Linked DNA regions of Caenorhabditis elegans. The protein of the gene in region 3 interacts with the protein of the main gene of each other region in a pairwise test. Each region holds a gene or a part of one and is shown on either strand. Other genes may lie near its edges.

The links.
Region 1: the proteins of unc-83 (region 3) and picd-1 interact in a two-hybrid assay, tested with the Caenorhabditis elegans proteins (one large-scale study listed by BioGRID).
Region 2: the proteins of unc-83 (region 3) and sma-1 interact in a two-hybrid assay, tested with the Caenorhabditis elegans proteins (one large-scale study listed by BioGRID).
Region 4: the proteins of unc-83 (region 3) and unc-15 interact in a two-hybrid assay, tested with the Caenorhabditis elegans proteins (one large-scale study listed by BioGRID).

What each region holds. Positions count from the first base shown.
Region 1 is NC_003283.11:101,648-109,205, forward strand, and holds the start of picd-1 (Pry-1 Interacting and CABIN1 Domain containing), read left to right. Parts: upstream 1-3,178; 5' UTR 3,179-3,182; coding exon 3,183-3,263; intron 3,264-3,321; coding exon 3,322-4,313; intron 4,314-5,351; coding exon 5,352-5,840; intron 5,841-6,377; coding exon 6,378-6,791; intron 6,792-7,558. Other genes in the region: rps-27 (Small ribosomal subunit protein eS27), read right to left, coding at 1,823-1,948, 2,264-2,389.
Region 2 is NC_003283.11:11,895,755-11,903,237, forward strand, and holds the start of sma-1 (Spectrin beta chain), read left to right. Parts: upstream 1-3,694; 5' UTR 3,695-3,809; coding exon 3,810-3,876; intron 3,877-4,153; exon of another isoform or gene 4,154-4,325; intron 4,326-5,353; coding exon 5,354-5,616; intron 5,617-6,241; coding exon 6,242-6,421; intron 6,422-7,030; coding exon 7,031-7,315; intron 7,316-7,360; coding exon 7,361-7,483.
Region 3 is NC_003283.11:6,461,807-6,469,190, forward strand, and holds the start of unc-83 (Nuclear migration protein unc-83), read left to right. Parts: upstream 1-3,258; 5' UTR 3,259-3,406; coding exon 3,407-3,478; intron 3,479-3,627; exon of another isoform or gene 3,628-3,827; intron 3,828-4,580; exon of another isoform or gene 4,581-4,761; intron 4,762-5,198; coding exon 5,199-5,297; intron 5,298-6,158; exon of another isoform or gene 6,159-6,367; intron 6,368-6,503; exon of another isoform or gene 6,504-6,643; intron 6,644-6,786; exon of another isoform or gene 6,787-6,926; intron 6,927-7,137; exon of another isoform or gene 7,138-7,286; intron 7,287-7,384. UniProt on the Caenorhabditis elegans protein: Cargo-specific adapter that is involved in nuclear migration during development and thereafter.
Region 4 is NC_003279.8:7,376,353-7,386,815, forward strand, and holds unc-15 (Paramyosin), read right to left. Parts: upstream 6,846-10,463; 5' UTR 6,732-6,845; coding exon 6,615-6,731; intron 5,479-6,614; coding exon 5,422-5,478; intron 5,376-5,421; coding exon 5,289-5,375; intron 5,220-5,288; coding exon 5,109-5,219; intron 5,062-5,108; coding exon 5,006-5,061; intron 3,935-5,005; coding exon 3,715-3,934; intron 3,408-3,714; coding exon 3,303-3,407; intron 3,181-3,302; coding exon 2,249-3,180; intron 2,200-2,248; coding exon 2,070-2,199; intron 2,021-2,069; coding exon 1,244-2,020; intron 970-1,243; coding exon 943-969; 3' UTR 535-942; intron 470-534; 3' UTR 252-469; downstream 1-251. Other genes in the region: col-35 (Nematode cuticle collagen N-terminal domain-containing protein), read right to left, coding at 9,555-10,463. UniProt on the Caenorhabditis elegans protein: Structural component of the muscle thick filaments which is involved in assembly and organization of sarcomere myofilaments. Involved in ovulation.

The DNA.
Region 1 (7,558 bases), 6.4 Mb from region 3:
GCGCGCGACACACCTTTAAAGTCGCAGAAGTGGAGAAAAATGGACTGTATGTTCGGAAAAATGTTCAAAGTTTTTAAAAAGTATAAGCTATGTTTTTAAAAAAATCTAATTTTTTTGGCTGGATACTCTATTTGAAGTTGTAAATTTCAAAGAAAAAATACTCAAGCGGCATCACATAAATATCATGATATTCGGAATTTCAAAAGCACGTCTGCCTGCGCGTGTATTCAAATTTTCGGATTACGCGCACTTTGGCTTAATGCCAATACTCCACTGGTTTCGGTTTGCTACAGAAATATTTGAGAAAGAAAGAAATTGAGAGAAAGTTTTACGGGTTTTGCCATATGGAAACGGATGTTTTTCTAACGCGGAAGAAAAATGGAAACTGAGAAGAATCGGGTAAACACAATGGGAGGGATGCTCCAGAGGAGAGGCTATCTCATTTGTCGAAATTTTTGAATTTTTCGGAATAAAAATATATTACGGGAACACAAAATTCTGAGAATGCGTATTGCGCCACATATTTGACGCGCAAAATATCTCGTAGCGAAAACTACATTAATTTTTTAAATGAGGTTTTCCTTCATTTCTTCATATTATTTTATTTGTTTTTTTTGCTTCATTTTAATATTCCATCTATAAATGTGTTTATTATTTTAATTCATTTCGATATCAAGGCCCGTAAATCGGCAAAAGCACTACAGTAGCCATTTAAAGAATTACTGTAGTTTTCGCTACGAGATATTTTGCGCGTCAAATATGTTGCGCGATCCGCAATTTTGTGTTTCCGGATCTTGACACGACAATTTTTTGTTAATAATTTTAATCCATTTTCTTAAACGAAAAACTGATCATGAAAGATCCGCAGCAACGAAAAGTTCAAAGCTACAGTACTCCTATTTAAAGGTGCACACCCTCTTTCCACAAAGAATTGTCGTTTCGAGACCGGGTTAACACTTTTCGTTTCAGATCATCGAAAAATCAAAATAAAATGTTCGGGAAAATATCAAACAATTTCAAAATTTCATCACATTTATAAAGAAATTTGTAAAAAAAAATGCATCTACACAGAAACAAGAAACAAGCTTTTTCTGGTTTCTCCACAACCTATTCGTATTCTCATTTACTTTGGCACTTTCGATATGACACTTGTCGTCGAATCTTGCCCCCCCCCCGAAACATGGGCCCAATTACTGTACTAATTATTCCGCATGTCTCATTACCTACCCGTCTGTATCTCCTTTTTTGTTTCAAGTGTGGCGTAAAGGAGAAGCTTGTGGTGGTGATCCGACTCATCTATTTTCAAGGTTTTGGGTTTGATTGGGAAAAGGTAGTAGTACAGAAAAGTGGGGAAGGATTATGATAATTTGAGGGAGCGATCAGTGGAAAAGTACACTGATAATCTCCGATGAGGGAGGGGAGACACTACTATTCTTATTACCTATGCGCGGAAAATGATTTACTCGTATATTGAGTGGGGGGTCTCATTTCACTCGGTAACCTAATCCTGAAAAAATAAATATCAAGAATAACACCTGAAAATTGCTAGCCAGAAGCAAGTACCTTGCCAATTGAAATGGCATTACGACCCCCGTTTTCACCCTCATTACCAGAGACGAGACAGCCAATGATCCAGTTGTTTGACATTGCTAACGGAAGAGAAGCGCCAATTACCTTTCATTGGCAGATTTAGGAAACAATTTCTCAATGTCTGTCAAATGGAAGTCGAACACACAAAATTTTTTTAAAATCACATTGTTTTTCTTTCAACCAAAAAAAGGAAGGATTTGAAATAACAATTTATGTAACAATTACGGGAAACTTATTGCTTCTTGCGGAAGGAGCATCCCTCGGTGAGCTTGGCCTTTCCTCGGGTTGGCTGGCAGAGGACGGTGTTGCATCCAACGCAGACGACGACGGTGGTGGCGTGCGAGAAGACGGTCGAAATCTGAAAAAAAAACCGAATTAGTATGGGAAAATTGCATGGTAGAAAAAAAGTGAATTTGAGCATATCTGACGTGAGAAATATATTTATAGACCGAAATTAAGGTCATAATCATCATGAAATGCAAATCCTAAATAATGATTGAAAGGAAAATTTTCGTAAACGAAAATGGCTACTTCTCGGAGCATTAGATGTTGAGATTTAACAAGTTGAATACAAGAATCGTTCAATCTCAGAAAACGGGCGGTTTGTCGCACAAAAACTTTTGAAACAACAAATTTTCATGAACAGCTATTAAGCACATAGGCTCAATCTTACCTTGAAGCATCCCGAGCACTTAACGTCCATGAAGTAGGAGTTTGGGTGTTGAACAAGACGCTTAAGCTTGTGGCATCTGATCTCCCTTTGTGGCTCTGGGTGAAGAAGGTCAACGGCCAAAGGCATTTTTATTCCACTTGTTGAGCGGGGCTGGCTGAAAATATGTGAATTGAGAAAATAAATAGTATATTTGAAAGAAGGGAAGACGAGATAAACGGAAAAACACGATTGCGGAACATTACGAAAAATTTCGAAATTTATTATTTTTTTAATAACATTTGTTTACCGGCCGGACAAGACAAACCAACTTCGAAACGAGGAATAAATCAAATTTCATATTTAAAATGAATCAAAACCCATGATTAAACGAAATGACAAAAATCGATAACGTGTATAGAACGAACTCAAGCTGAACCGAGAACCGAGAAATTCAGGGTTTTTAGTATTTTATTATTTATTTTAGTTTTATTTAAGCTGATAATTTCGAAACGTTATGATTTGAATAAAAATCGTGGAATATTGATATTTTCCCAAAAATTCCACTTGGTAGAATCACAAATCTAGGCAAATTGGCCGTTTTCTATCACAAATTACGAGCGAAAACTACAAATAATGCAATTTTTATATACTTTTCTAACTAAAAACCTGAAAAAAATATCGAAAAAATCGGGAAAACAGTTGAAAAACGGGAAAAAAAGGGTTAAAATTTTAGGCCCAGCAATTTCATCGCCTTCCGCAAACCGTGCGGTGGGGCGGAGAATGTAATGGTGCGGCGCGGTTTTCGGAGTGTCGTAGCGCGCTGTGTTTATCGTAAATCGGCGCGAACTCTTTTTTGAAGCAATTTTTTTTGGTTTTTATTGAAAGTTAGTCTCAAAACTCGTATTATTTTAAAATTTTTTTATTAAACTAAAATTTAGAAATGGAAGAACCATCAGAATTGGGCGCAAGCAAGGAAAAACCGATTGAACTCAATGAAGACGACGAGTCTTCCGACGGAGAGGTTTGTGGCAAAGCTTAAAATTCACGGAAACCAGCATTTTAATTCAATTTTATTGCAGAATTCCGTAATAATATTGGACAGCGACACAGAGCCTGAAGATGGCGCCGGCGGTGAAGAGGATGAGGACAATGGTGAGGATTCAGAAGAAGAAGATGAAGAAGACTCCGACGAGGAGGAATCTGAAGATGATTCCGATAGTTCTGTGGATACGGAATCTGTGAATTCAGTCTGGTCTAATGTTGATGAAGAAAACGGCGAGGAAATTACAACAGAAGCCGCTGAAGCAAAAATTATAAAGAAATTCGAAAAAGCCATTTTCTCTATAGCCGACAACGACTCTGAAACAGGCCGACGGATTCTGGAAAAGCTTCTAAACGACGCAATAATTGCCACATACAACCAGGAGAATCCAGACTTTGAGCTGCTCGACGAGCCACCGAGATTGGCGAAAATGCTTCAAGTTTTCATAGCGAGCCACCGGAATCTGGCGAAATTATGTGAAAAAGAAGTGGAAAATGCGGATGAAAAGGAGAAGGAGCAACTGAAAAGTGAAGAAATTCAACATTTATGTCAAGTTCTGGCTTATGAACCGAATAGTTCGGATATTTGGCTCGACGTCGCACTTAAATCAATAGAATTCGGGGATTTAAACTTTTCAAAATATGCTTTCAAACGGTGTGAGACCCTAAAAGAGTCCCTGGAATCCCACGCAACTCTGCTATATTTAACGTGTGATTACAACGAAAGTCTGATGATTATGAAACAATTCCAAGAGCAAAATGATGTGTTAAATGATAAATTAAAGTACCTGAAGCATAAAATCCGATCCACAAATCAATATTATAAACTATCGTGTGATCGAATTTTCGAGGAAGATGAAGTTTATGCGGACGTCCAAAGTGTTGAAAAACGGAAAATTCAGGATTTCGACGAGCGAATTGAGGCGTTGCGGAGCCGAGTTGTGGGGAAAATTGAGCAGCGAGACGTAGATTTTCGTGATGAAGAGGAGAAGTGCTCTGTGATTCCGATTCGAATTGAGGCCGATCAGGAGTAGAATTTTTAGCCTTAAAAATACTGAAAAAGGAAGAAAAATATTCTTTTTAATAAGCGAAAAATTATCAGAAAAAGCTATTTTTTACCTGAAAAAATTGCTCTGAGCTTGTTTTTGTTGAATTTTCTAGCCAAAACTTGATCTGAGCAGATTTGTAAAAAAAATACACAAAATCCCACAATTTTTGCAGAAAATTTTTTAAAAAAGATATTTAACAAAAAAAGACGGTTTGAACAATATTTTCGCAATGATCGTCGGAAAAATGCGAAAATTTTGTAACTGTGGAGAGAAATTGAGGAAAATTATACGAATCTGTGCAGTTTTAGCCGATTTTTGTTTTTAAAAAAATTTAACGTCAAAAAAAAAATTCAACTAAATTTTTAGGTTTTTATACAAAAAAAATGTTGGAAATTCTGGAAATTTGGGTATTTTCGGCACGAAATTAGAGTAAAATTCATTTAAAACAATTTCAAACAAATAAAAAGGGTTAAAACGGGATAATTTGCACAAATCTGACCAGATTTAGCTGATTTTTTTGAGAAGAATTCTGGAAAAACGTTGTTTTTTTAATCTCCACTTTTGCTTAATTTCACCAAAAATCCTAAATTTTGCCAATAAAAGAAACTTGAATTTTCTGAATTTTCTCTCCAAAACGCGAATTTAAAAGATAAAATTTGGAAGTTTATTGAATTTCACTTTTTAAAAAATGTTTTTTACGGGAAAATTTTCATTTAGAAAAAAGATCAAAAAATACTGGAAAACCACTGAAAAACTATTATAATAATTTAATTTTTCAAGGAAGTTGTTGCCAATTTCTCGAAAAATAGTAATTTTCAAGTAATTTGAAGAATTTTCGCGCATTCTAATTTTCAACAAGTAATTATCTTATGCCGGAAAATAAATAAAAAAAATGATTTAAAAATAATTACGGTCTATTTTCTGTCATAAAATTCAATTTTAAAAATTCAATATGCTCCTTTTTTGGCAAAAAAAAATTAACTCAGATAGGCTTAAAATAATTTTTAAAAAATTTCCAGTCTCCAAACAGTTTGCACAATTTTCTGCGACCTCTTCGACCGTATCCACGCCTATTCTCACTGTCGGCATCAGCTCATCGAGTTCACCGAATGGGAATCGCGGCGAGACCATCTAGACGTTCTCGACACAGTTGAGCATCTCGTAGACGTCGTGGAATGTGTAGAGGACATTTCACAGAAAGTAGAAGAGCTGGAGAACCTGAAACGTGGAGCAAAAGGACGTCGGAAGAAGCAGCAGCAGAAAGATGAGAAAAAAGAGTATTTGGCGAGCTGGAGGAAGAGATTATTTGTGGAAAAGAACTCTGAGGAGCCTCCAATAGTGATCACTATTGATTCAGAAGCTTGTACAACTGCTGATGAGGATGATGAAGAGAACACATCACAGATTGAAGAGATTCTCGGAATGCCCGAAAATGAGTTGGCTCAAGAGTTTGAGCTGGTTTTCAGCGAGCTCAAGTCGATTAGGAGTGGCGGAAAACGAAGGGAACGGTAAAAATCTGAAAAAAAAACATTGATTTTTATTGTGATATAGTTTTTTAAAAAACTTGAAAAATTAATATACAATTTAATTTAAGAAAAAATAAAGAATTGCAAATATTTTTTAATTCTCTGAAAATTTTTTTAAAAAATTACCTTTTATTCTGTTTTATTTCAGAGAAAATTTTTCAAAAAAAAAAATAAATTTTGGAAAAAAACGAAAAAATAATCTGCTGAAATTCTGAAAAATTCCAATATTTTTTTTCTATCAAAATCGAAAAAAAACCCTTCTTTGTTTCAAAGCAAATCAATCCAATTTTTAAAAAGAAAATTTGAGAAAAAGCCCGAAATTTTAAAGATTTTGTGGAGAAAAGCTTTTTTTAATTGAGTGTGAATAAAATCAATCATCGAAATTTTGCGAATTTTATTTTAAAAATATTGATATTTTGGCTGAGTTCTCCCAAAATTGCTAAAAAAAAAAGAGGAATTTTTAGTGAAATTTTTTTTTTCTGAAAATCTACATTTCCATCTTAATTTCTAAAATTTCAGAACTCCGCCACCATCAAAACCTCACGAATTCATCGATTGCGACATGATTCTTCAACTTTTGGAAACAATATTCTCTGGTGAATCCCGTTCGATTCTAGAGATCCTGGAACACACTCTATTCCTAATCTCCGATCATACCCCGGCTCACGGAGCACTTCCAGAAAATATGAGAGAAGTAACGAGAGAGATGTACGCCAGGCTTGCACTTTTCGATGAGATTTCTGATAAAAAATTTGAGAAATTGAATGTGATGCTCGTGGAGCTCGACTCGAAAAAGGCGATGCAAGTGGCAGTGATTAAGTATATTTCGCCGTTTTCTGGCGGAAATTCTGTGGAAAATGGAGAAGAAACACGCGATGGGATCCTAAGATTTATGTGGAAATACGCTCAAACTGGGCTCAAGGATGAGATCAAGTACGGGCAAAAATCTGTAGAGATTATGAAAAAAAAAAAGCAAAATTTTTTTCCCAGTAAAACGCAGAAATTTCAGCATTTTTTATCGTTTTCCGAGAAAAAATATTTGGAAATATTTATTAAATTTTTCCTTTGAAAATTGACAAAAGATCGAAAATGTTTCATTTTTTTCAAAGAAAAGTGGAAAAATGGAAAGTTTTCTCGAAAATAACAGAAAACGGAAACCTTTAATTTTTAAATAAGTTTTTCTGAAAATCAAAAAAAAAAGTTCAAAAAATCGAAAATGTTTATTTTTTCTACATTTCTGCCGAAAAACGTTTAAAAATAATGTAGACATCGAAATTTTTTTAAAATTTTTCTCTGAAAAACGCTAAAACTCGAAAAAAAAAACGCTAAGAACGCTAAAAATTCGAAATTTTCGTTTTTACCGCCGAAAAATTTAAAAAAAGTCTAATTTTTTCGTTTTTAAAATTTTTTTCTCTCGATTGCTTCCGTTTGAATGAAAAAAACACACAAGAAAAATTAAAAAAAAAAAAAACTTTTTCGCTTTTTTTAAAAATTTTCTATCAAAAACTCTGAAATATATTCTTAAATGAAGAAATTAGTTGTTCTTTTAATTTTTATGAAAATCGCCGAAAAAATTGAATTTTAAAAAATTTATCTGAAAAATGCTGTGAAAAATTGAAAAAATCGGCAAAAAATAAGTTTTTAAGAAAATTATTTCCGATTTTCCTTCTTTTTTTAAAAGTAAATGTTTAAATTTCTCA
Region 2 (7,483 bases), 5.4 Mb from region 3:
CGAATCAAAGAGAAAGTGTTGCACGTGTATGCGAAAATTTTGGAGATTGTTTTTCTATGGAAGTGATTATTGTGAATGGTCCGCCGACATCTACCAAAATGTGAAAATAATGCATACACGTGCCCAACTTTCTTTATTTGATTCGAGTGTAGCTTATTCAATATTTTTGTTTTTCTAATACAAACAAATCATCTAAACCTACCAATAAAACTTTTGAAGTATTTAATTTGTGTTTGAAAATATCGTTTGAAACTACTCGGTACTTTAGAGCAACTTCCTGCCAAAATTTGGCAACTGCCACCTGGCAACTTAATAAATGTTTCTCAAAATTTGGAAACGGGTAATTTCCAAAAATTGGTACTTCCATGTGGTAGAAAACGTGAAATCTCTACCTACAGTTTTGTGCACGTTTGTATCACAATGCATCCAGAATATACCGTATATCCTCTATTAGTTTTGCACCCCTTTGCTCAACTTTGGCAGCTCATATCTCAGTAGTCGTTTGTTCTAAAGAAAAGTTGTCTACTGATAAAATATTTGTTAGATGTTTTTCTATAGTATGTAGTTTGTTAATTATTTATATGTTCAAAACAAAATGAGATATGAGCTGTCAAAGTTGAGCAAAGGGGTGCAAAACTAATAGAGGATATACGGTAAACGTTTCTCATATCTGGTGAGTACACGAATGGTCAGCGAATCCCTACTTTTTTTGGCATCTGGAAACCATGAAAATACGTCGTTTTAATATTGCAACTACACAAAAATGTTATGATGCATTTCCATATGTGACGTCAGATTACCAAATTCAAGTATTCCCACGATTCTCAGAGGTCAATCTAGAGTTTGTAGTTTGACCTACAGGAGGGTCCATTCGACTGCCATTGTAGTCTAGTCCGCAAATTTGCGTCACTGTGCTGGTGGAGAGCGGGAAACGGGAGAGGTGAGAGGGAGAACACCCTTTTTTCTCCCGCGTAGAAGACCTTTTTGAAACACAGCCCAGTGTCGAGTCCGTAAACACCGGCACGCTCAAGTGAACGTTTTTTATCAAGGCCGCGTTTTTCGAATAACATTTCTCAATAGTTTGTGGTTTTATTAAATGGGTTTCACGTTTTACTATAATAAATAATTTTACTTTCAAAATAAAATTGATGACCATAAATAGTAATTTCTGGTTTTTTTTCAATCTTCGACTTCCGATTCTTTGTAAGTTACGGTTTAAATCTGTTCATGTAAGCTTATATCTTTTGTAGATCTATAAATGATTTGTTTTAAATCTATAAGATTTAAAATACACAGTTATATTTTACGTGTTTGACAGCAATATTAGCTTTAAAATGAACCTAATTAGATCTAGAAACCGATACTTGTGCTTTCCATGCAGAATTTGAAGAACGAAGTGTTTCTAGTTTCTTCTCGTAATGAAATTTACATGGGATTTTTCACTACCCCTGTAAAATTGATTCTTATTTTATCACTCAACTTGTTTTTGAAATTTTGTTTCCCACCTCTTGTAAATTTGAAATTCTATGTATCTAACGGGCAATGTCCTTGGGAATGTGTGCACGTGGTATCTTAGACAACATAGGTGTTCTTTTTATAATCTAGACAGTGTTCCTTCTAGAGTAATTCATACTTCACTAGTTGTTCTGTTTATAATATACTGATATACCAAGTGATGGTGACACAGTTTTTAGAGATAATCGACGCTTATTCATCAGTTAAATTTCTGAAATATGTAAATCTGCGCTGCGCAACATAAACCCTTTTCGATGAAACAAACCCTACAGTGTCTACTTTAATTTATGCGATTTTTCTTCCGGTCCTTCATTCCTTCAGTTTCCGACATTTGTAGCACATCTGGCGACGATTCATACCGACCCTGTAGCACTTTTTTGTTCAATGTGTTCGGCACAAGGTTATGCGCACTTCGCCTCTTTCTCCTATTCGCTAATACTAAACGAAACTTATCGCATTTACATTCTCACACTTCCACTTTTCAAAAAAGTAAAGAATACTACTTGTAAGGTGGTAGTGGACGACTGTCGGTGTCGGTTTTGTCGAGATTTCGTCTTTCATTCGACTGATCGGACAACTAGATACACTGAATTAGGTGGTGAAAGAAACTTTTCTTTTGAAAAAGGAGAGACCTACGTTTTTCTTGTCCGTTTCATTTCACTGCCTTCTGCCAAAATATGTGTGTTTTCTCACTGTTTTATCATCCTTTCAAAGTCTTGATTTTTTGGCTCGCAGTTTTTATGGTTGTCGTGGAATTGTTTGGTTCTCTGTTCCTCTTTGCCACAAAAAGTTTGTTGACTGTAGGTTAAAATTCAGTACTCTTTTAAAGATTTTTTTTACTGTAAACTACACGATTGTGAAAGAAACTTAGTCGTATTTTGTCAGCTTCAGATTTCGGCAAATGTTTGAGTCGGGAGTACAGCTCTGTTTATCTACATTTCCATTCTCTTTTCAAAAGTTGTTTCCCAAAACACCTGTCGACCTGTTACCCGTCCATAAATCATGCCAATATCATTGTCAATATGACGGCGTTTATGGTCAAGTATACCTCAACGAAATGCGTCAACTCTGACGCATCCGTGTTGACAGACGAACTCAACTCATCATAAGTACACAAATGGAAACGTATACACGCGTTGAATGAATAGATTGAATTCCTAGAAATGGGTGTGTTTTTTCCTTGAAGAATTGATCCATATGCGTTGTCGAAAAGTTGTTCTAAAATAATTTTCTGAATAACTAGAAGTTTTACAGTAATTAAAGTTTTTCGTTTGTTCAGAGATACTTAGTATTCTTAAGTTGCCTGTGCATATTCCTGTCATGCCTGTTTAAAGTAACTCCAGTGGGATTAACTATCAGAAACTCTCCCTAAAATAATATACGAATATCATAATAAGACTTTTATTTGAAAAAGTTTTTTGTAGGCAAACACCAAAATAACTAAATGTCCTCCACTCATAATTTTTGAAGTAGTCCGAAACATTTTAATATTCTCATATTTGGATTATGTTTTAAGCATTTTATAGGTCCAAAAATGAGGCATTGTTTTAAACATTTCCAAAAACCGACATTTTCGAAAATTGGCAATTTGCCAAAACTTTGAACAAGAACATGTATGATGTCTTTTTCTAGAAGTCAACAAATATTGTCAACAATAAACAAGAAATCATAAAAAACTATAATAATAAGTGGGCTGCTCATGGATAAGAACAAAAAGCGGTGTTCTTCCTGGCTCTTGAAACAGACATGTTTGAACTCAAGTGCCCCACTGTGGCGGTCAGCTATTTTTGTGTTTGTCAATTTCCGCCACCGGAATCCTCGATTTCTCGCCCATTTCGGCCACCACTCAATTGTTGCCGCCGCTGAACATTCCTTCCGTTCTTTTCCCGTCAGGCGAATACACATATTCGATACTTTTTATCCATCGCGCCGATCGATGGATGTCTTCTAATCGTCTCCGACACTTTCTCCGTTACTTCTTTCTCTCTCTCATCATATTCGGATAGTATTGTATAGAGAGACTCGGCAAAGGATAAACGAACGCCGGACGTCGTTGCAATTGAACACAGAAGAGATAAAGATTATATAAGAAGTTACCTTCTGAAGACTGAGGAGGAACCACCACGGCTACTGTCCGAGTGTCGCCGTGTTTCCTTGACCCTTTTTCTCCATATCTGACAAGAATCGAACACGGATTGTCAAGACTGTTCATAACGGAGGAAATACTACCACTTACTATTTTTCGACTTTGCTATATACATAATATATTCTTGCTAATATTGTGAAGCTTTATCATGTCGTATGTGTCGTTCGCGGCAAGCTACTCGCCTGGAGAAGGCAAAACAGTTCGAAATCTCAATGGTATGTGCTCTTTCATTTTAAATTCTTTGTAATAAGTTTTTCAAAAAAATTCTGAAATTATTAATTTGATTTTGGGCACATCAAAGTAGGTGCAAATTAGTTTCTGCAAACAAATTTTCTAAATTTTTATATTTGTGTTAAGTAGTCTTCTAAATTTTGGCGCTTGAATATATAATAGATCGAAGTAAAAAATTGTATGAATATTGCTAATTTTGGTGTTGTTGTGTTATATGCATTCTTGCACATTCTCACAGTCTGCTGCATTCCTTTCTCTCTTTATTTCTTCGTTCTCTCTATATGGAAGTGGCGAGAGGGTAAATATGCAACACTGCATACCATCAGTAGAGCGTCCATAGAGCCGTGAAGGAAAAGGGCACAGTGATAGGTGGTAGTGTTGAAGTGTCAATACAATTTAGTACTTTTTCTCTTTCCACATATTTTTGTCGCTATTCTAAAGTGAATCATTGTCCTCTGTGTCATTTCGATTTGCAATTTACCAAGTATGAGATATTTATGTATCTGTCTTATTGGGATCTCTATGCTGTGACAGATTGCTTCACTAAAATAAACAAAGTTCCAATAGCATTCCCTCCGTTGTCTAATCCATTTTCTGTTCTCACTTTTTGCCCCCTGGGTTCGTCTTTACTAATGAGTTCAGCAACCATCCCGCGGAGCACATTTCAGTGACTCATTCTTCTTTTTCGCAGTGATAAGACGCTGTTATCAGATGTAATAAACACGGGGAACGCCCCCACCTCCACAATATACCTTACTTTTAAAATTTTGAAAATTTTCGTGACGTTTCGAACTTTCTCTGCTTTTTTACTTGAAATTTAATCTGTCAATGTTTTTTGCTGGACATTTATAGCGATTGCTAAACACGTCTCTTTTTTGTTTAATTGCAGAATAGTTCCAACATTTTCTCAGAAAAAATTTCATTCGAAAAGCTTTCCAATTATTCCATTTTCTTTTTTGTAAGCCTTTTCTGATTCCAGTTAAATATTACTAACTTTGTTTGTGTCGCGTCGTCGTACGACATCCGACGTACAAATTCTTAATAAGTCATATTTCACGTGAACATTATTACGTGAACTTTGCCCACACACACAGAAAATAGTCGCACACATAGGAATGCCACGTGTACCACGTGTGCCACTCTTTCACTGTTTATGTTCGGCGAAACATTTCTTTATTTCAAAAATCTTTCACTTTTCTTGAAAGTATTTTGTTGCTGGATACAATTTCCCGTTTTAATTGTAAGTTAGGTTCAAACTTTTTCTCTGAAAAACGATGTGATTCCAAATATTAATAATCTTTGTCTTTTTTGTGCCACGTGGGCGTCTCTGTTGCATATCATTTTGATCATTATTCTCTTCAGAAATGTATATATAACTTGTCTTTCTTTTTTCTCTATCTATTAGTCACTTAACTACTCAAGAAACTTTCAAATTTATCAACTAAAATGTATATTTTTCAGACAAGGTAGAAGGGTATCGCAAGGAGATTGCCCCAAGTCGCGAAAACGTTGACTTCGATCACTTGCGAAGAACACCTAGAGATCCTTTACCGGAGAACGACTATCAGGCGACGAGCAGTACTGGATTATCGAGTGGGGAAGTAAAACCCTACCAGTACCGCGACTATCACCAACATCAGAAGCACGAGTATTACGGCGAAGGAGTGAACGACGGTGTATCTGAAGACAACGTTGAAGACAAAATGAGAAAATACGAAATGCAGGCAAGTTTATATTTATGAACTAGACAGGCTTTTTAAAGTAGCATCAACCTGTAGATCGAAAATGAATGTTTAAACCTATTATGATTGGATTTTAAGATAATCCGATTACGCGTTTGAAACATAAATCCCAATTTTGCCAATAGTCAAGCCAACACATCTAATATTTTTGTCAGATTGTAGTAGTTGTTTATATTTGCTCTAAAAGTCATGCCGAAAAAGTTAATTTATTCAATATCTATGAAATCAACAGCTTCATCTCCAACCCCAAGTGTTAGAACATTACCTGAAGAACAGGTAGTTGCTGTTTTTTTGTTTTATAAATTGTTCATGACTCATGAACATTTGGAGATCATTCATTTTCTTAAAGTAGTCAGCTGACGTGCTCTCATACACTCTATGTTATTTCTGTTTATCATTAAGGTCGGCAAGCGTCTCTCCCGGTTAGGAAGGCTATGCTGTCAAAACGGAAAGACGCTGAGCTAGTAAATATTTGTTTTTCCTTATATGTAACAATTTTGGTTCCGTAATATTATTCTGGAAAGTTTTAAAGATCCGAAAAAAAACTGAGAACGTTTAGAAATATTTAACAGTTCAATTAGCATCAAGTTCATAATGATTTTTTCAGGTTCGTGTTCCAACAAGTGGTGCACCACCAGTTCGCGCAGATGCCAATGGAACAGATCAAGACGAGTTCAATAATGAGACACTGTACTTTGAAAGATCACGCATTCGGACACTGCAGGACGAACGTGTGCACATTCAGAAGAAGACGTTCACAAAATGGTGCAACTCCTTTCTTAATCGGGTAAGTTGTGATAACAACTGATTGGAGTATTTGATTCTATAACGGCGGTCATCGTTAACACGAGAGTGAATAAGAGAGACGGGTAGAATTAGAGGGAATAGGTGAGGGAGAAAGGTTCAATTAGTCGGAAGAATTGTTTACGGAAAGAGAAGAGGATAATGCAACGGGAAAGTAATGCGGACCAAGATGACCTTGCAAATTCCCTTATCTTTATCTGGAGATCAGTTTGCATGCAAGAACGAAAGGAATGTTCGGATGAAAACCAATGAAATCAACTGAATTCATTCGTTGCATATGGGGTAGAACCAGTGCGGAATTTGTCAAAATACACTTGATATAGTCTAAAAGAATATATTAACGTAATTAGAAATTATAAATGTTTTTTTAGAGTTGTAATTTTCAATCTTAGCAAAATGGCAACATTTTGCAAAGTTTGGGGTTGAAAAAATATAATTTGAAGATTGGTATTTGAAATCTTATCATAGTTAATCACAAGGGTAATTATAAATATTTGAAAAAATAAGAATATAAATTTTAACTTCCAAAACTGTGACTTGGTATTAATATAAGTTTAGGAATTAAAACCATATAAGCACAACAATTTTTCAGGCAAGTTTGGAGATTGTTGACCTTTTCGAAGATGTCGGCGATGGTATTATGCTCATGAAACTTCTTGAAATCATTTCCGGAGACAAACTCGGAAAACCGAATCGTGGCCGAATGCGTGTGCAGAAAGTGGAAAATTTGAACAAAGTTCTTGACTTCTTGAAGAAAAAGAAAATCCAATTGGAAAATATTGGAGCCGAAGACATTCTTGACAGAAACGAGCGACTTATTTTGGGTCTCATCTGGACGATTATCCTCCGATTCCAGATTGACACTATTGTCATTGAAGTGAGTTTAGAGAAGCCATTGTTTGTTTTAGTTTAAATTTTTCAGGATGAGGAGGAGCGTGGAGAGCGAAAACATGCCAAAGATGCCTTGCTGTTGTGGTGTCAGAGAAAAACAGCTGGATATCCAAATGTTCGCATCGAAAACTTCACTACAAGTTGGCGCAATGGA
Region 3 (7,384 bases):
AATCATCTGTACTACCGCCATCAGCCTCACCCTTCACAAAGATCATTCCAGCTTCCCATTTTTCTTTTATCCGCTAGAAATGAAGCGTATGGAAGGTGATTTTTGGGGATTATATGTACTGTTGTATTGGACTGTAACAAAGTACGTCTAGATTCTGCTAACCTAGAGGCTCTTGAAGTTATTTTCTCTCAACTCCATTTTTGGTCCGCTTTTTAGAGCTGCAAATATTTCGAGCACTTGTTGACAATAAATAAAGTGGTAGTTTTTTTATAACAGCACAGTTATAATAGGCATTTGGCTCTAGTTTCTTGGCCAAGCTTGGCCCAAAAATATTAGCTTACTATTAGAACAAAATTTGGTAAAACTTGGGGAAGAGTTGGTTTAGGCTATGATGAAGTGTAACCCAACTTTGGCCGAAGTTTTGTCCAAAATTTTTTTGAACTTGGCAAGAGTTTGACAAAAAATGGGTCAAACTTGACCAAATGTTTCCAAAGTCTTCCCAAAACTTGCCCATCGTTTGCCCAACTAGTCCCAACTTTTGACACAATTTAACATTTATTGAGTTCAACTTAGATAATTAGCTAGAGCCAAACTAAACATGTTTTTGACATTTGTGATGCTATCAGAAAATTATTTTTATGCAATTAAAATAAAATAAACACTACTTACTAATTTTCTATAGAACCTCGTGTTCCTTTCAAAATTACAATACGATCCATCTTGTTCCCACAATCACTCTGCTTCTCAATCATCTGTCTATCTATGTCAGTCTCTATAAATATATTCACATGATCAATTTCTCACATTTGAAAAAATTGGCACCCAGCCAGCAATGTTGCACTGTCTTCCTCTCAACCCTTCTACTCCCACACGCTTGCCCTAGACTATCATTCTTCAAAAAGAAAACTAAAAACAGCTCGATAATCGAATGTGTGTCTCCTGATGGTTCCCACGTCGTCAACACAAACTGTTTGACTTTTTCAATCATGTCTTTGACTTCTTCAACTGTCTGCGTTTCTTCCACACATACACAAATTATCATTTCTTTGTCGTTTTTTGTCTTGGTGCTGACCGCCTTTAGTTACAGGCGCCCGTTGTTTTCTTGCATTCCTGCCAATTTTCACAGTAGCAATCGAGATAGTATCAGGTGGTAGTAAATGTTTACGTGTCGACTGAGTTTTTCAACCTTTATGACTCCATTGGCATAGGAGTATCAAGTAAATTATCAATGAACTGATTAGCATCATGTTCATTTTGAAGATGACATTGTTTGAAAGGTTTTCGGAGAAAAGGAAGTATTCTGAAATATTGGAATTTAAATTAATTTCTATTAATGTGCTTACAATTAATATTGAAATTTTAAAGTGTTTTTGGAAATTCTCTGCTGGCATTTGAACACTCAAAATTCTTCAATTAACTGATCAGCTCAGGCATAATTTTCTTTTGAAAACTTTTTAATGGCTTTACGCATTTTGAGAAGGAGCTGAAGTTTTCTAACTGTTTTTGAAAGTGTTACCCCTCTATGAGTCACTGGGGGCAAACGAGAAGCGCAGTTTGGGCGACATTTTGTTGCATTATCAAATAAAAACGGTTGTCTCTTCTTTTTTATTATCAACCAATGCAGAGCCAACATTCTACCAAATTGATAGTAATGCAAGTACTTGCCGTAGATTCCCTCAAACATTTGAGACAAAGGGCCTAAATAGTTTTAATTGTGAAACAAATTAGACACGACGTTCGAAGTTTATTCTGCAGTTTTGGTAATGCGTTGTAATTTTGATGTTAGTCTAGAAACAAATGTTTTCTTTTTGAAATTTTGCAATGTTCTTCAGAATATTTCAAGTATGAAATTTCTAAATTGTACTTCAAATCATTTCTAAAACTCGTAAAACATTCGGGCACTACAAAGTGTTCCTTTTCTACTTTAGTATCACAATGTTTCGCACATTGGTGATAAATGAGCCGGGGCTGTCTGCCGTTTCCGACTCCATTAACTTGGGTCCATTATCCCATCGTTTCACTGTGTTTCTATCACATTTATTGGGGGAACTTCCTGTTGCAACAAAACCAATAAATTCGAAAAGTGTCAGGGCCATGTGCTGTTGGACATCTATTCGTGAACATTTTCAAAATTTCGATTTGTTCCTTTCCAGTTTTCCATAGATTCAATTTTAATTGAAAAATGAATGGGTGGAAACTTGAATTTAAAAAAAAGGAATTTAATTCAATTTTCAACAAGTTCAAAAATATTTTTTCCAACGTTTTGTTAATTGATATTTTCCAGAACTTTCTAAATCAAGTTACATTTTTTTTGAAAGCTACAACCTATTTTGTAGTAATTTGGAAATTTCTTGGACCTCGTTGTGATAATTTCCATAAATTTTGCTTAATATTTTTTATTGGAAATCACGAGACTTTTTCACACAAAATAAAATCTTCCAGCTGATTTCCCTGGTCCAATCTCTTTTTTATCACTTTCACACCTATCTCTTCATATTTTCATATCTTCATAAATCTTCATAAAAATTCATAAAACAATATCTCCATCATAATTATCATCTTTTATTATTTTATCAGGTGTCGAAAAGAAACGAAAACTGTGTGAATGACATGATAATCCATCATCATCACAAGCTTCTCTTCCCAACTCTCTAGATTCTCCTCTCTCATCAGTATTATTGTTTATTAAGGCGGAGACTTCGGATTGGGGGGCAGATTTCGAGCATCTCACACTTTTCTATGTTTATCTTTTAATTTGCGAACATTTTTGCGGGCGATGGCTTGTTGTCCAGGGCATGAAATCCATGGATTTTTATTTGGATTTTCAAAAACTGGCCTAACAAATTTTATGGAAACCGTACTATACATAAGTAAAACATTTATGAAGTTTTTCGTGTGTTTCTACATTTTTATTAAAAACATTTTTTATTATCTTTAAAAGGATGTTTTACTGCTCGACACAATTTTCATAGATTTTTGGTAAACTAGGCTAGTTTTGAATTGAGTATATATTTTGCAAATTTTCTATCCTCAATATGACTTGAATTTCCGTTTCTTGACTTTGATCTCAACAGAAATCTCTTCTTGAAATTTATTTTCAGCTCCAATGAAACAACTAATCTCTTTTTCTTTGTTTTTCACGAAATTTTTCCTATTTTGTTCTACACACAAAAAATTGTATATACTTTTTCTATTTTTAAATTTTCACCTCATTTCGTTTTGATTAAGTATTTTTCCGTCTAAACTAAATTTTTCCAGATCCGTTTCTCATCCGTGATCATATTGCGCAGATGCGTAATTGATCGTCCACCCCTACCAGTACAGTATCCCACGTCTGGATACAAACTTCTCTGATTTTTTTATTTTTATTCCTGGACACCGAAAGTAACCCGAAAACAGGTTACGAATGGACGTAATGGACTCATTCTCGGAGGTCGAGATGCCCAATGATATATCATCGGAGGACCATCTTTTGAAGGTGAGGCAGAGCTTTAAATTTTACGAAAAAAAAATACTTTAAAATTTTCAACGCATTTTCTTGCATATTGAATTCATTTGAAAAGTAAAATTTCGTTAAAAGTAGGAGAAAAAAAATTAAAAGTTCGATTTCTTTATTCAAACCAAAGTAGAATGTAGTTTTTTTCTAAACCAAAACGAGCGAAAATAATTTTATTTTTCAAATCTATTTGATTATTGAAAGTGCCTTTTTGAAAAATGCTTGAGCATTTACCCTTGCGCCATCAATTGTTTGCAAAAAGCTGTCAAAAAGCCCGAGAGGCCGAGTTTTCAATTTTGGCGCAAAAAATCCCGAATTCCACGCTATCTTTTTTTTTCTTTCGATTGACTAAAGACGAACGGCTGAAGTTTTTTTTCGCTGTGCTTCAAAGATTTATAACTGGAGGTGGAAAGAGTTAGTGTCGCACATTCAAATTCCGCATCGTTTAGTTTTTCTTATCGAATGTTTTGATCTGGTGGGGGACGACGAAGTAAATTGAATTGAAAACTGTGGTTATCTTGAAAAGAAGTTTGAAGGAGAAAGTGTAAAACTATTGATGACGGGAGTTTAAATTTCAAGAGATTTTAAGACATTCCCATATTTCAGTGTGCGAAAATTTATCATTAAAAAATATTAATTATTTCTATGTGCTAAGTACATTTATTAGCAAAAAAGCGCAGAATCAAGTTCAGACAACATAATTATATTGATCTTCAGAGATTTTGCACATAATTTTGAGAGCCATTTTTCAGGAAAAACATAAAAGTTATCAAAATTGGTCCGCTAAATGATGTGTAAAACCTTTAAAATGCGATACTTTTTAATATTTAAAAGATTCGCATGAGAAATAATTGACTGACACCTTAGGTTCCTTGTAAAATATTTCATTGTATTATTAGTAAGTATAGGTATTTCCCAGATTTCCTTGTTAAGGTACCGCAAAGTCAACACATTCATGGACACCTTTTTTTGTTGACTTACCCCATATTTCTCTTTTTGTTTCCAAAAACAATATGCGGACCATTGAATCCTCACGCCATTCACACACATTCCCAGAGCGCGACTACTAGTAACTTTGTTTGGCAAAAGCTGTTAGTAAGAAGAGAATGATTCCGAGTGCCCAATACCATAAGTGTTTCTCGAGGTGCGCATCTCGGCAGTGAAGAGCAACTTGCAAGTTCGAGTGCATTTCTCCAAACTTGGTTGTTCCTACACAACGATTCCTGTGCCATGTTCCTTGATCCTCTCAATTTTGGCAATTGAATCGATTAACGTCAGGTTTACTCTTCGTTTTATTGCAAAGTGGGCCGCCCGGAAGGTCGAGAAATCGTAAATTGACTCGGAATTACCAATTTTACAGTCACACTGAAAGCAAAGCACTTCTTTTTGGTAGAGCGGGTGGCCATTGATTGTCGTTAAATCGTTTGTGAGGGTCATTTAGAAAAATGGGCGCATATTTTAATTTTTCAGAATAATTTTGACAATTTTAAATAATGAAAATAACAAATTACATTTTTTTGAAAATCTTGTTTCACCTTTTTTGGTTTTTTATTTGTATCAAATTATAAACTGTTTTATTAAATTGCACTACGCAGCTGTACAAGATCGAATTGCGCGTGTACAACCATCGTTAAAAATATCTCCTAGATATCTTTCCAGCTGTTACTTTGCCCATTTTAATGATCAATAATTTAATTTCCAGGTCATCGAATCGTCGGCTGAGGAAGTGGATATCTTTTTGGAGAACTGCTCCTCGCTCTACAATTTAATCCTCGACTCGTTGCACAACCTCACCTCAAAAGTAAGTCTTATTTGTTTTATTGCTTGTGTCGTTTGGTTGCCATGGATCAAGTGAAACTGGGAGAGTAATTAGGTGTAGCTGGCCTCAAAAGAACCTCCTGTTTTTCTCGATTTTCTTCTAGTTTTTCTTTGAACAAAGTTTTTTGCTTAGCCCTCTGATATCAAGATCAAGTTTTGCAAACTTGAGGCAGTTGTCCATTTGATTGAGCAAGAGATAGCAATAGTTTAAGGGGTCATCAATTATCAAAAAGAGAAACGTTACGAGCCTGTCAATTGAACACAAGCCTGGTACGAAAATATTACGGCAGATGTGGTGATGGATAACTGAAAACATTCACTTGACAAGCCTTTTGCCTGTGCTTTAGGGAATTTTTGAATCTTCCAAATACAGTTTTTACATAAAGTTTACCAGAATTAATTTCTGGTTGAAGTTTCAAGACTTGTTGATCTAGGAATGATAAATTAAAATAAACCCTTCCCATTCACAAAAACATAGCTAACTTATTCTTGCTCTAACTAGTAAGTTTTGTTCACTCCATGAACTACATCTAAATTTAAGCGGTTAATCATAGAGTAAACAACAAAAAAAAACCAATTTTTGAAGGTATAAAGTTGTACTTCTCAATATCCGATGATTAAAATTTTTAAAAAGAAAGTATCCTCAAATCGTTTGCTCTTTTTCAATGAGATAACAAATGACCACTGCAACTCATCTCTCTGTGCTTCTTATCCTCCCACACTCATTCAATATACTCACCCAATTTTTGTGGCAATTGCCGTTTGTTTGGAAGGTCACCCATTAATCAAATGTAGTTGGTTGATTGTGCAACCTCTACTACTAAACATTTTGATGAAGATCCTTCATTTTATCTGCCACTGACTCCTGAGAAAATGCCACACATTTCGATTCAATTAGCTTTCCTAAATTATTATACCAAATAGTATCGAATAACATCTCGCCCCCCGAACCACAGAAAAGTGGCCCCCAATAGTGTGCGCAGTTTTGCCGTTCCGAATGAAATTGGAGATTGTTGAGAACCAAGAGATAGATGGGAATTGAGTTGAAGTTATTGTTAGAAATTTTAAACTTTTCAATGATAAATTTTGACACAATAGGGGATCAGGTTGTAATTAGAAGATTACCAATTACTTTTTATTTTCATCACTCCAAAAAAGTACAACTGAATTTTTCAAATATCTAGTGGTAACCCGAAAAACTCATGTCAACTTTCTGAATCCAAAAATGCTGCAAATTTCTTGTCAAAAATGCTGTCCACAGCAAATCCCCAATGGACGTGTTCCGATTGAGGCAGTGTTTGCTTACTTGGGATGTGTTACTCTCGTTTTCTTATTCGAACGTCCTCCTTTTCTTTTGGGGAGTAACATAATCCCGTTCAGACAGACACAGATTGAGCAGATCATTTGTTTCCTTTTAAGTGGGTTGGCACATTTTGCTCTTTATTTTTCGCTTTTAGATAACTGAGATGCTAATTTTTTTCAGATCACTTAACTTCTTTAGTGAACTTATAATGTTGTTTTTGAAAAATTGTTTCCAAATTCTCAGAAAAAGATATCAGAATCTGGATATTTTCAAATTTTAGAACGAGGCGCACTTTTATGTTTTTTTCAAAACTTTTTCAATGTTTTTTTAACTGATTTTGTAAAATTCATTTGCCTTAAATATCAAATTTTTTGAAGCAAAACATAATGAAATTCTTCTCAAACTTAAAGCCTTCCATCTTTAGTTCCAAAATTCGTTCCGCATTGAACAATAACAAGATATAGGGGCGCGAACATGCGTGAAGAATACGAGAACAGTAACGGAAGAAGAATAAGGAGAAAAGACACGGAGTCATCTCATGTTTGCGGATTGTTAGTTATACCACCATCGGGCACCCGAGTTGTCGTTGAGCATGCTTAGCGACAGGAGCACCAGCGGTACACTTCACGCACCCGATACTCGTCTTATTCGTCCACTCGAAGGGGGGCTTAGACTCACTGTACTCTTCGTTCTAGGTTAGAGCATTAGGGCAAAAACTATTTCATGAAAAATTAGAAAATTTTCGAGGAAACCTCTAGTTTCCATTG
Region 4 (10,463 bases), on a different chromosome or scaffold from region 3:
TTTTGAAGCTTTCAAAATATGGAACCAATTCAAAAATGCTTCAGAGCGAATTTCACAATAAAAAGAAATTACCTTCTTCATGAAAAATGACATTTTGGATTTTTGGCATAATTTCCAAAAATTATCTTATTCTACTGAAATTACCAAATATCACAGCTCTCACGGGCGCTTCTCTAACTTTAAAGTCTATTCGGATGTGATTCCATCTGGAATAATTTCAGACTTGGAGCAATAATGTTTGAAATAAAATATTTTTTAATTTGTTTTTAACATTTTTTATTGTTGTGAAACGGGGGTGTTTTGTGGCCCGAATGATAAAAACTGATTGGATAAAACAACAAAAATTATCATCTAGGCGAAACTTTGAATATTAAAATTGAAGAGAAGTAGGAAAGTAATGGGATATGAGAAGAAAACAGCGCATACCACAATTTCTACCGTATCCTGGTTGCGATTGCATCATCTCATCTGCAGGTAGCGATCTCGTCAAGACTTTGATTTTATTGTTTTACTTTGAAATTTCAGGCTTAATTTGTATCAAAATTTTTATTGACGACGATTTCTTATGCAACCAGGGACTCGGGATGGTTTGGATGGAACATTGAATAAATTTGTATTAAAAATTGATGGGAAAACATGAATTGTGGGTGGGAAATGATGTCGCTCGATTGACCTAATTGTTCGAAATATTGATTGGGGGACAGTCAGTCAGAAGCACGAGGGGCAGTGGGACAGAACAAAAAGATAGTCGAGAAGATTTAGTGATGGAAGAACGATAGAAAAAGCGGATGGGCGCATTTGTTGGGGAGAGAAATAATTGAAAATTTAAAAAGAAAGAGAAGAAGAACATGAAAGAAATAGAGAAGAAAAATAAAACAATTATACACATCTTATTAGCAATTTATTTGATGATTTGATGTATGGCGACGCTTTTTGGGATGTTTAATAATCGTCTTCCGTGACGAAAATCTGCAAGAAAAAACAAACGAAAAATGTGAAAAACAAGTGACGTAAAATAATTAAGGTGTTGGGAACAAATTTTTTTAAAGATAAAATGATAAGTAGTAGTTGCTCAGGATTTCTGTTTTCCGACACAGACAAAAACAATTCTTGAAATTTTCTTATTGAAATTAGAACCATTTTTGATTAAAGTATTTGTCTATTCTAACTATGAGCGTTTAACATAAAATCTAAAGTATTGACAAATCAAAGTATTTTCAACAAAAAAAGAAAATTAAAATACCTTGGAGGATGACTTTCCGGTGACAACAGATGAACGATGCTTGGCACGGATGAGGTGAAGGCTGGACTCGGCTTGATCGGCACGGCCCTCAGCATCCTCGAGCTCGTGTTGGTATCTGCGGACTCTCTGGAGGTTTTGCATTGTTACGGACTCGGACTCAGCAAGTTGTCTCTTCTGGATGTTGAGCTTCTCGGTAAGACGATCAGCGGTGTCTTGAGCCATAACGAAGTTCTTGTGCTCTTCATCAACGAGTTGTTGAACCTCCTTGATGCGGCGATCCTTCTTTCTCAAGGCATTCTGGGTCTCCTTGTGTCTTCTGGTTTCCTCATCAAGAGCGGTCTCAAGATCACGGATTCTGGTCTCCAACTTGGCGATGACTCTCTTTCCTCCGAGAAGAGCGGCAGCCTCAGCTTCTTGAATTTGAACTTGGAGTTGCTTGACTTGCTCCTCAAGAGACTTTCTCAAGGCATCGATTTTCATCGAGTGTTCTTGTTCCTCATGAAGTTGTTCAACGGCACGGGCAGCATCAGCAAGAGCACGGTTGGCGCGCTCATCAGCGGCGTGGAGTTCCTTGGTGACCTCATCCAAATCAGCTTGAGCGGTGGAGAGCTCAGTCTCGAGTTTGTTCTTGATGGAGGTGAGGTTGTTGTTGATGGAGATAAGGTCGGAGATACGTCCATTGGCTTCCTCGAGGTCAACCTCGGCTTGCTTACGGGCGCGGATAGCGTTGTCGAGAGCGGTCTTGCATTCCTCGAGTTCAGCAGAGAGAGCGGCGACCTAAACATATATAAAAATGAATTAAGAGACCACAAAAATGATAACTCACCTTGCGTTGAGCGAGGGCATATTGGTCCAAAACTTGTTGCAACTGACGTTGAGTATCCTCCAATGAGGCTTGGAGAATCTTGAGTTGCTCCGATTGCTTTTTGATGGTCTTCTGGGCTTCGATGTTAGCTCTGTAATTTATGAATTTAAGGGTTGAATGTTGAAAAAATTAGTATTTACCTGTTAAGGTTATCAACAGTCATCTCGAGCTCAGCGATCTCAGCCTGGTACTTCTTCTTCAGTCTAGAGATCTCGGACTTCATGCGGGCCTCGGCATCAGCCAAAGCGGCAATAAGTCTGTCGATTTCGAATTGAAGGTTCTTGCGAAGAGCCTCCATCTCTTCTTCCTTCTCTTGGAGACGACGTTCCATTTCGATGCGAAGAGCCTGGAGCTCAGCAAGGGCACGTTGAGCGCGGTTTTCGGCGTCACGGCGTTGAGCATCAGCCTCCTTGAGGGCAGTCTGGAGCTCACGGATTTCTCCGGCAAGACGGGCGTTCTCGAGGTCGAGCTCGTGGAGCTTGCGGTTGGCGTCGGCAAGAGCCTCCTTGGCTTCGTGAAGTTCGTCGTGGAGCTTCTTGTTCTCGCGAGCAAGAGCCTCCTTCTGTTCGACAGCCTTCTCGTACAAATGCTTCATCTTCTGGAGCTCAGCATTGACGGCACGGAGTTCGCGTTGAGCAGCTTCGAGTTCAACAGTGATCTCATCGATACGGACCTTGAGTTCTCCAACTTGTCTCTCGAGTTGTTCTCTGGCACGCTCCAAGAGAGCAATGGTGTTCTGGGCCTTCTCAAGATCAACGATAAGAACCTCGACCTCAGATTGAAGACGAGACTTGGCCTTCTCGAGTTGAGAAATCTTCTGGAGCATGATCTCGATTTGCTCTTCATACTCAGCTTGCTTCTGGAGCATCTTCTTGCGGAGATCCTCAACTTCTTCGTGGTGAAGGGCGACCTCAGCATCGAACTTGCTCTTCCACTGGGTGATCTCAGTGTTGGCAAGGTTGAGCTTGTGCTCAGCATCGGAACGGGCAATCGACTCCTCATCGAGAGCGGTGCGGACCGAGTCGAGCTCGAGCTGAACCTGGTGGAGTTGAGATTGAAGTTGGGAGCGCTCCTGAAATTTCAACGTTCTTTGATCTTCGCACGTTTATGCTTTTTTAATGTCCAGAAATGCGTCAGAGGAAGAAACCCGATATTTCCGCCTCTGAATTTGGCACTTTGGACTAGTAGACTTACGCGCTCGGCATCCTCAAGACGACGTCTGGCCTCCTCGAGCTGTTGAGCGAGGGTGTACTTGACGTGTTGAAGGTTATCGAGTTGAACCTTCTGGTCGTGAACCTCCTGAAAAACATTAACGATCCCTGATCTGCTAACAGAACACACTGAACGAGACAAAAAAACGATGAGGCTCACAGAGCATCCTCCTTTCTAATATCTCGAGTACTCTATTTGCACACACACTCTGCGGAAATAGTAGCGATAAAATAGAGAATTTAGTAAAGAAACCCCCTGTTAAAAGGGGTTTCTTTTTTTCTTTTTACCGCATTTTTTTGCTAAAAAAAAGTAGAAAGATGAGCAGAGTGATCGGTGGCACGTGATAAAGATGATAAAACTAGAGATTATACACATGATACTTCAAAAAACAAACCTTGAGAAGATCATTGTTCTCAGCTTGAAGGCGTTGACGTTGTTGGGCGAGGTCATTGACGTGCTTGTTCAAGTCCTCGACCTTGTTGGCAAGTTCGTTGGCTTGGGCTTCGAAGCGCTCAGCGGCCTTCTCAGCGGTGTGTTTGTCCTTCTGGAGCTGGTCGATAGTGGCGGTCAACTCGATGACTTCGTGTTGGACGCGTTGGCGTTCGCGGTCGATCCTGAATGATGATGATATTGCGTGGGATGGGAGGATATTTGGAATTTAACAAAAAGTCAAGCAGCGGCGAACAAGTAATTCTTGATGTGTCAACAATATGTTTGGCTATGAATGATGTCAGAAAGCAGCCGGTTTGGACAGGTGAAACTATTGATAGTGGGTGGAAAAGTATAAACTAATTTTGGATTTAAAAACATTACGTCAAGAGTTGCACACAATTATTTTCATGGGAAAGTTGAACTCGAAGATTTTTGAACGCAAGAAGGGAACAACTAAAACTTATTTTACAACTGAATAGATCATCTATGTACATTGTTTAAAAGATTAACATAGATTCTAGAAATGTGTTTTAAATTACGGAAGATTTTCCTTGATTTCATTGAAAGTTATTTGAGCAAAAAAAAGAGACATCATAAAATGAATCCATCGTAATTTAAATGGGAAAAATACAGTATTTTTCCTATTAATATACAGGATTTCTCACGCATTTTTGTTGTTGAAATGTGTTCATAAATGAAAAATAACCGAGATATGAGCTGTAAAACTAGAGGATAGGAGGTGCAAGACTAGGCTAGCAACCCCTTGTTATGAAACAAATAATGTTTGATCCTTACTACATTTTTAAATATTCTATAATATGTTCATGCATTCGTCATTCAAGTTCTCAAGCTGTCCCCTTCCCGTTCATCTCAACTTCTCATCCCAACTTAATCTCATTATTTTTTACCACCACCACTGTTTCACGGGAACGCAGATTGCTCGCCAAGCATCAAGATCAATGAGAGAAATGTGAGAGATATTGAGAAGATCAGTAAGACGCAGACATTCTTGTATCTCTCTCATCTCTTCCTGGAAGGCGAAACAAACACACACACACGAGAAACGTTTGTTATTTTACACACTTTGAGCTGATGCTTCTTCATCTTCTTATACTTCTTCTTCAGAGCTTCTGCCGAGCCGCCAACTCCTCCGCTGCCATTTCAACGCGGGAAGATAGAAGAAGAAGAAGAAGAAAATGAAGGCACAAGTACTAATACGAAAAAAAACTTAGAAAATAAAGATAATAACTTACTTGGCATTTTTCTTTTGGAGTTGCTCGATCTGATCTTGGTAGTCGAGGCAGGAATCCTAAAATTTCACGAATTCTTTAAGCTATAGCATAAAGATTACTGTACCTGGTGCTTTTTGCGGAGAACATTCATGGCATCTTCGGATTCAAGTTGAGACTCCTCGAGGAGCTTGCGAAGCTTTGAGAGTTCTCCCTCACGTTTGCGGTTCGATTCGATCTGTAATTATAATGTTTAAAGGTATAAGATGTTTCTTTAAATTGAAATTCATAAAAACTGGAAACTCACTTGGCTGTCGGTGGTTCCCTCGGCATCCTCGAGTCTGTCAGTCAAAGCAATAACTTGAACGGAGAGATCGGCACGCTCACGTTCAACCTGAAAATGGCAATCATGGTATCAGAGATAAAAGGTAAAAACTCACTCTGTTGCGGAGTTCGCGCTCTGATTCCAAATCCTCTTGGAGAAGACGGATCTTGTCCTGAAAAGTGAAACTGTATTAATTTGTAAAATCTTTGAAGAATTAATTGTTTCAAGAACTGATTCAGATAAAAAAAGTATGGATTCCGATTCTGATTGAACTTCTTGATGAACCTTATTACACGGACCTATAAATTTAGTGCCGAGTGGGGAATATTTTTAAAGTACTGTGAAGATAAACATCCTGACGTCACAAATTTAAATGTCCCGGAATTTCTTGAGATCAAACGACAAGAATACACTCGTAGCATACAATTCGATATTACCATTTAGTTTTTTTTTTGAATTGATATCTAAGCTTAACAAATAATGCATTAGGTTTCTTCGAAATTTTACAACACAGTGTGGGAGATTATAAGAGAAACGTGAAAATAGCTTATAGATATGAGAGACGTAGAGTGCATTTTTTGGAAATAGACCAGCGAATGATTTGGTAATTGTTTTTATTTTAATTGACAAAATGTTTTTGCAGGCAATTGGCAATAATCGCAAATTCAGTAGCTAGAACCATGAGAAAATATGGGGTCAAAAAATAATTGTTTTTTCAAAGAAAAAAAGCGTAATTTTTGTTTTTTATAAGTGCTATATTTGAAAATCTGAGAATTAGGGTTCTACTTTTTCTTGGAAATATATGTAAGCAAGCAGTAAGTTAAACAAAGGTTGCAAATCTTAGTTACACAAAGAAACTAGTTGCCGAGATGAATGATGAACAGATTTTTCAAAATGAAGATTTAGAATAAGGAATCTAAAGGTTTAATTATAGAGAAAACTAGGAAGTTTAAAAATTTTTCTGAAAATAGTGTTTTGGCTCGGAATATTGTTTTATTCCATACATTTTGATGCAGAAAAATAATATTTACAAAACTGAAAACGCCGTTATTTGTCAATCATTCAATTTAGGGACAAAACAAACATTTTTCTTGAGACTGAGGAGTACTGTAAAACTACAATTTGAGATTTTTCAAGTTTTTCAATTCTTCGTTGCTATATTAGATGCCTTTTTTACTAAAATTTAAATTACAGATATAATTCAAAATATCAGTCAATGAAACATCGATTCGATGAAAAATGGAACACGGGTTTTGGGGTTTTGGCAGTGAAATGTTCAGAAATGGTAGAAAACATTCAAAAATTTACCTCGAGTCTGGTGAGTGATCCAAGATCGGCGACGGACATGCTGCCAAATGGAGCACCGAACGCTGCTTGCGACGGGCTCTTAAGAAGAGCAGCGGATGGCGAACGATACAATGACATGATCAAATGGAGTATTCAAATGGATGGTGCCCCTGTGTGTGCTGCTGGCTGGCTGGCTGCTTCGAGACTGACTGATTGTGCGTTGGGGCTCTGCCGTCGGGAAGACACATACACACATATCTCATCCCGCGCCGTTGCGTCGTCGATCGTCTCTCTGTCTCCAAGTATCTCTCATCATCAACTTCTACGAAGGTAGTGTGCCCGGCAGGGAGCGAGAGAGGAGCCTCAGTGTAATCCTTCTTGCCTAGCACTGAGCCACCCTCCCACTCTACGCTGCGTATCTGATAAATGCCATTGTGTTTTTGCCAACGAGTTGGCGGGATACGATCTCGAGAAGAGCGCGCCGAGAGCCGAAGCGCAGACGATGCATCAGGCACCCGCGGGCCAGGAGGTTTTAAACATTCGAATGATATTGGTTTGGTTCGGGTTGAGGCGACACGGAAGAAATTCAGCAAAAAGGGATGAGCACAGACAAAAAACATCGGGATCCACCAAAAACTTCAACTCGTGTTTGTGTGTGCCTTTTGAATGTCCGAAAGGGCAGGTGTGAACTTTGACGAACGGATAGTAAAACGAAGACCACTTAAGAAAAAAGAAACACAAAACCAGAAAAAGCGAGACTGAACTGCCATTAATCGAATGCCATTCCACCTATCAGTAATCAACTCTTACTTTATTCAGGCTCTTCAAGCCTGGGTTGTCTCCAATTTTCATTAAAGTTTCTCAGAACTATACTGTTACCTTTTAGATGATCCATTTTCATAAATTTATAAAAGTCTTCTATTAATGGTAATACGTCTATACAGTCGAAATATTGAAGAATTCCAAAACTCGGTTGTCAACTATTTGAAATTCCTTAATTACAGATAGTTATGCTCTCTTCTTGTCCATATCTATTAATACACTTCCTTAATTGATAGCCTTGTCATATATGATCTGATCAATGTTTTAAAAAGTTCTTGGATCTCATATTCTGAAGAAATAAGTGCGAAGTGTGTAATAATTGAGTGTATCCCGGAGAATGTGTGTGTGTGTGCGTGTGTGAGGGGGTGGGGGAGCGTATCACAACAAATTGTGATGAAATCAAGTTTTTATTACTTCTATAATAACTTGGTATTCAATTTCCAATATATCGGCTCTTCCGAATGTTTTTTCATTAATGAAAAATAGGCTTGATAAACTGATTTTCAAACTGAAATTGTGTCATGACGTCAAAAAATCAACGTTTTCACTCCAAATCCCGTTACTTCTTGTGACTCATGTCATTTTTAAATAAGTGTTGTGAAATTTCAAAATCTTTTCTAAATTTTCAGAATTTTACTTCCATTACGACTGATCAACCAGACAACAAAATACTCTTGTTGAGCAGTGTCAGCTGACAAATCGTGATGACCGAGATAATTAGTTGGTTGCAGAAGCAGGGGATGGTGAAATGTACTGACATTCGTTTGAACTTAATTTCAGATTTGATTATAAAGAAAAAATCTTGAACATTGTAAGTTGATGTTTATTGATTGCAAAAACTAGGATGGTTTTACCCCGCTAACAACTTTCTGAGGAAATATCGATTGTCGCACATTTCCATTCCAAAACGTGACAAAAACTTATAAAATGTAATAGAAAACGGTAGACCATTTATATTTAACTTTTACAAAGAGTGGACATACCTTTGAATAGTTTTTGTTAGACTTTAGTAAGGCCAGATTTTGGTTAAACCTTGCATACGATTTCCACAAGATTTCTAGCAGTGCTGCCGCTTGTTAAAATTATTTTTAACATAACTTCGAGAATATATGCTAATAATGCTGTAAGTTTTCTCTCAAGATAGAAACTTGGAACTACTGGATTTATCATTTTGTAGACAACTATCCAAAACAAAGGTAGATCAAAGCATTTTAATTTGTTGATATCTTCCAGATTTATGCAGTGAAACATGTTAAAGTGAAATATACTTGTAGACCGTATTTCATTTTATCTTTTTTGTTTTTAGCACTATTCCTTTTATTAGGAGAAGATCTAAAAACAACATTTTTTAAAGATATTTGCATATTTTTAAGTTATGCAATTTTGATTAATAGCTATATATTTGTCACCTTTCCATCTTTTGTCCATCCATTTTTTTCGTGATCATTACAAAGAATCTCTTCAATAGAATTCCCTCCAGAAGCCGCCCATTCTCTCTCATCGGTCTCCACTGCCATCTCAATATCTTTTTTTGCCACCGTACACTCTCTGAACTCTTCAGTGACAAGCCCACATCTCACACTCTTCTTCTACTACACATGCTTCTCTATCACATTTCTTTTTGTGCCTTCGTTGAAATGGCAGAAGGGTCCGGGAGCACAGAGGATCTTTCTCTCTGTGCTACTCGAGGAGCAAGAATGAAGAAGCATTTTTCGGCCCCGCATTATTGTTTTAAAGTATTGGCAACTGGGAGGAAAAGAGATATAGATACTCAGCAAAGGAGGACGATAATGAAAAATTTCAGCCGAAACATGAGATCAATCTTCAAAAGAATATTAGAGGGAACATGTCAAAATGTTCAGATTTTAGAAAAAAAAAATTTGTTTGAAAAAAATTTTAAAAATTTCGGAATTGAGTATTTGAAGATAGTTTCGAAATCATTTGAAAGTTACTGTTCTGATATTATACAAATATCTAAAATAATTCGAAAGCACCGAGAGGAGCTTATGTGGTTTTGCTATGATTTTTTGTTTCATGTTATCAAATGTTTACAGCTGAAAATAATAAAATCAATACTGTTTAGCTTGAAGAAATTTTATTGCAATAAAATTCATCACATTCCAGAAAAATTTAAGTTGATTAGAATCGAGCACGACGACGGACGACAGCGCTTCCACTGTATGTTCCTGTGGCTCCATCTCCAGCTCCAGCTCCTGCATCCGGTGCACCACCGGCAGCTCCAGAGCTTGCATCCGCACCTGTAGCAGCACCTGCTGGAGCTTCTTGGGCCAATCCTGCTGTTCTTGGTGGGCATGGACAATAGGCGGCGTCGACTCCTGGTGCTCCATCTGTTCCTGGCCCTCCTGGCGCTCCTGGAGCTCCTGCTTCTCCGTCTTTTCCTGGTGGGCCCGGTGGCCCCGGTGGTCCTGGTGGGGATTCTGGAGCAGCAGCGTCTTCTCCAGCTGGTCCAGCTGGTCCTGGAGGTCCAGCCGGTCCAGGAGATCCCGGTTCGTTGGTACTTGTAGTTCCTGCGGCTCCTGGTTGTCCATTTGGTCCTGGTGCTCCTGGCTGCCCATCTGGCCCCGGTGGTCCGGCTGGTCCTGCTGGTCCAGCTTCTCCTGGTCCAGCAGCATCTCCATCAGCTCCAGGAGCTCCTGATGGTCCTTCTGGTCCAGCATTTCCATCTGGTCCCGGTGGCCCTGGTGGTCCAGCAGGACATTTGATACAGTTACCTTCGACTCCAAGGAAACTATCAGCAACTCCTGCAGCTCCATTCTCTCCATCAGTTCCAGCGGTTCCAGGCTCTCCAGGCGCTCCATCTTCTCCTGGTGCTCCTGGTGGTCCTGCTGGACAACCAGTTGATTGAGCAGCACAGTTACATTCTCTTTCTGTACCTCCGCCGGTTGCATATCCAGCAGCTCTCTTTGCAAGAATATATCTTCCAAATGATGGAGACGTTGCTTGATTCTGAGGAAGATTTTCTCGAACCATTTTATTCCAAACATCATTGGCTCGAGATTTGAAATGAACCATTTCGCTGTTGATATT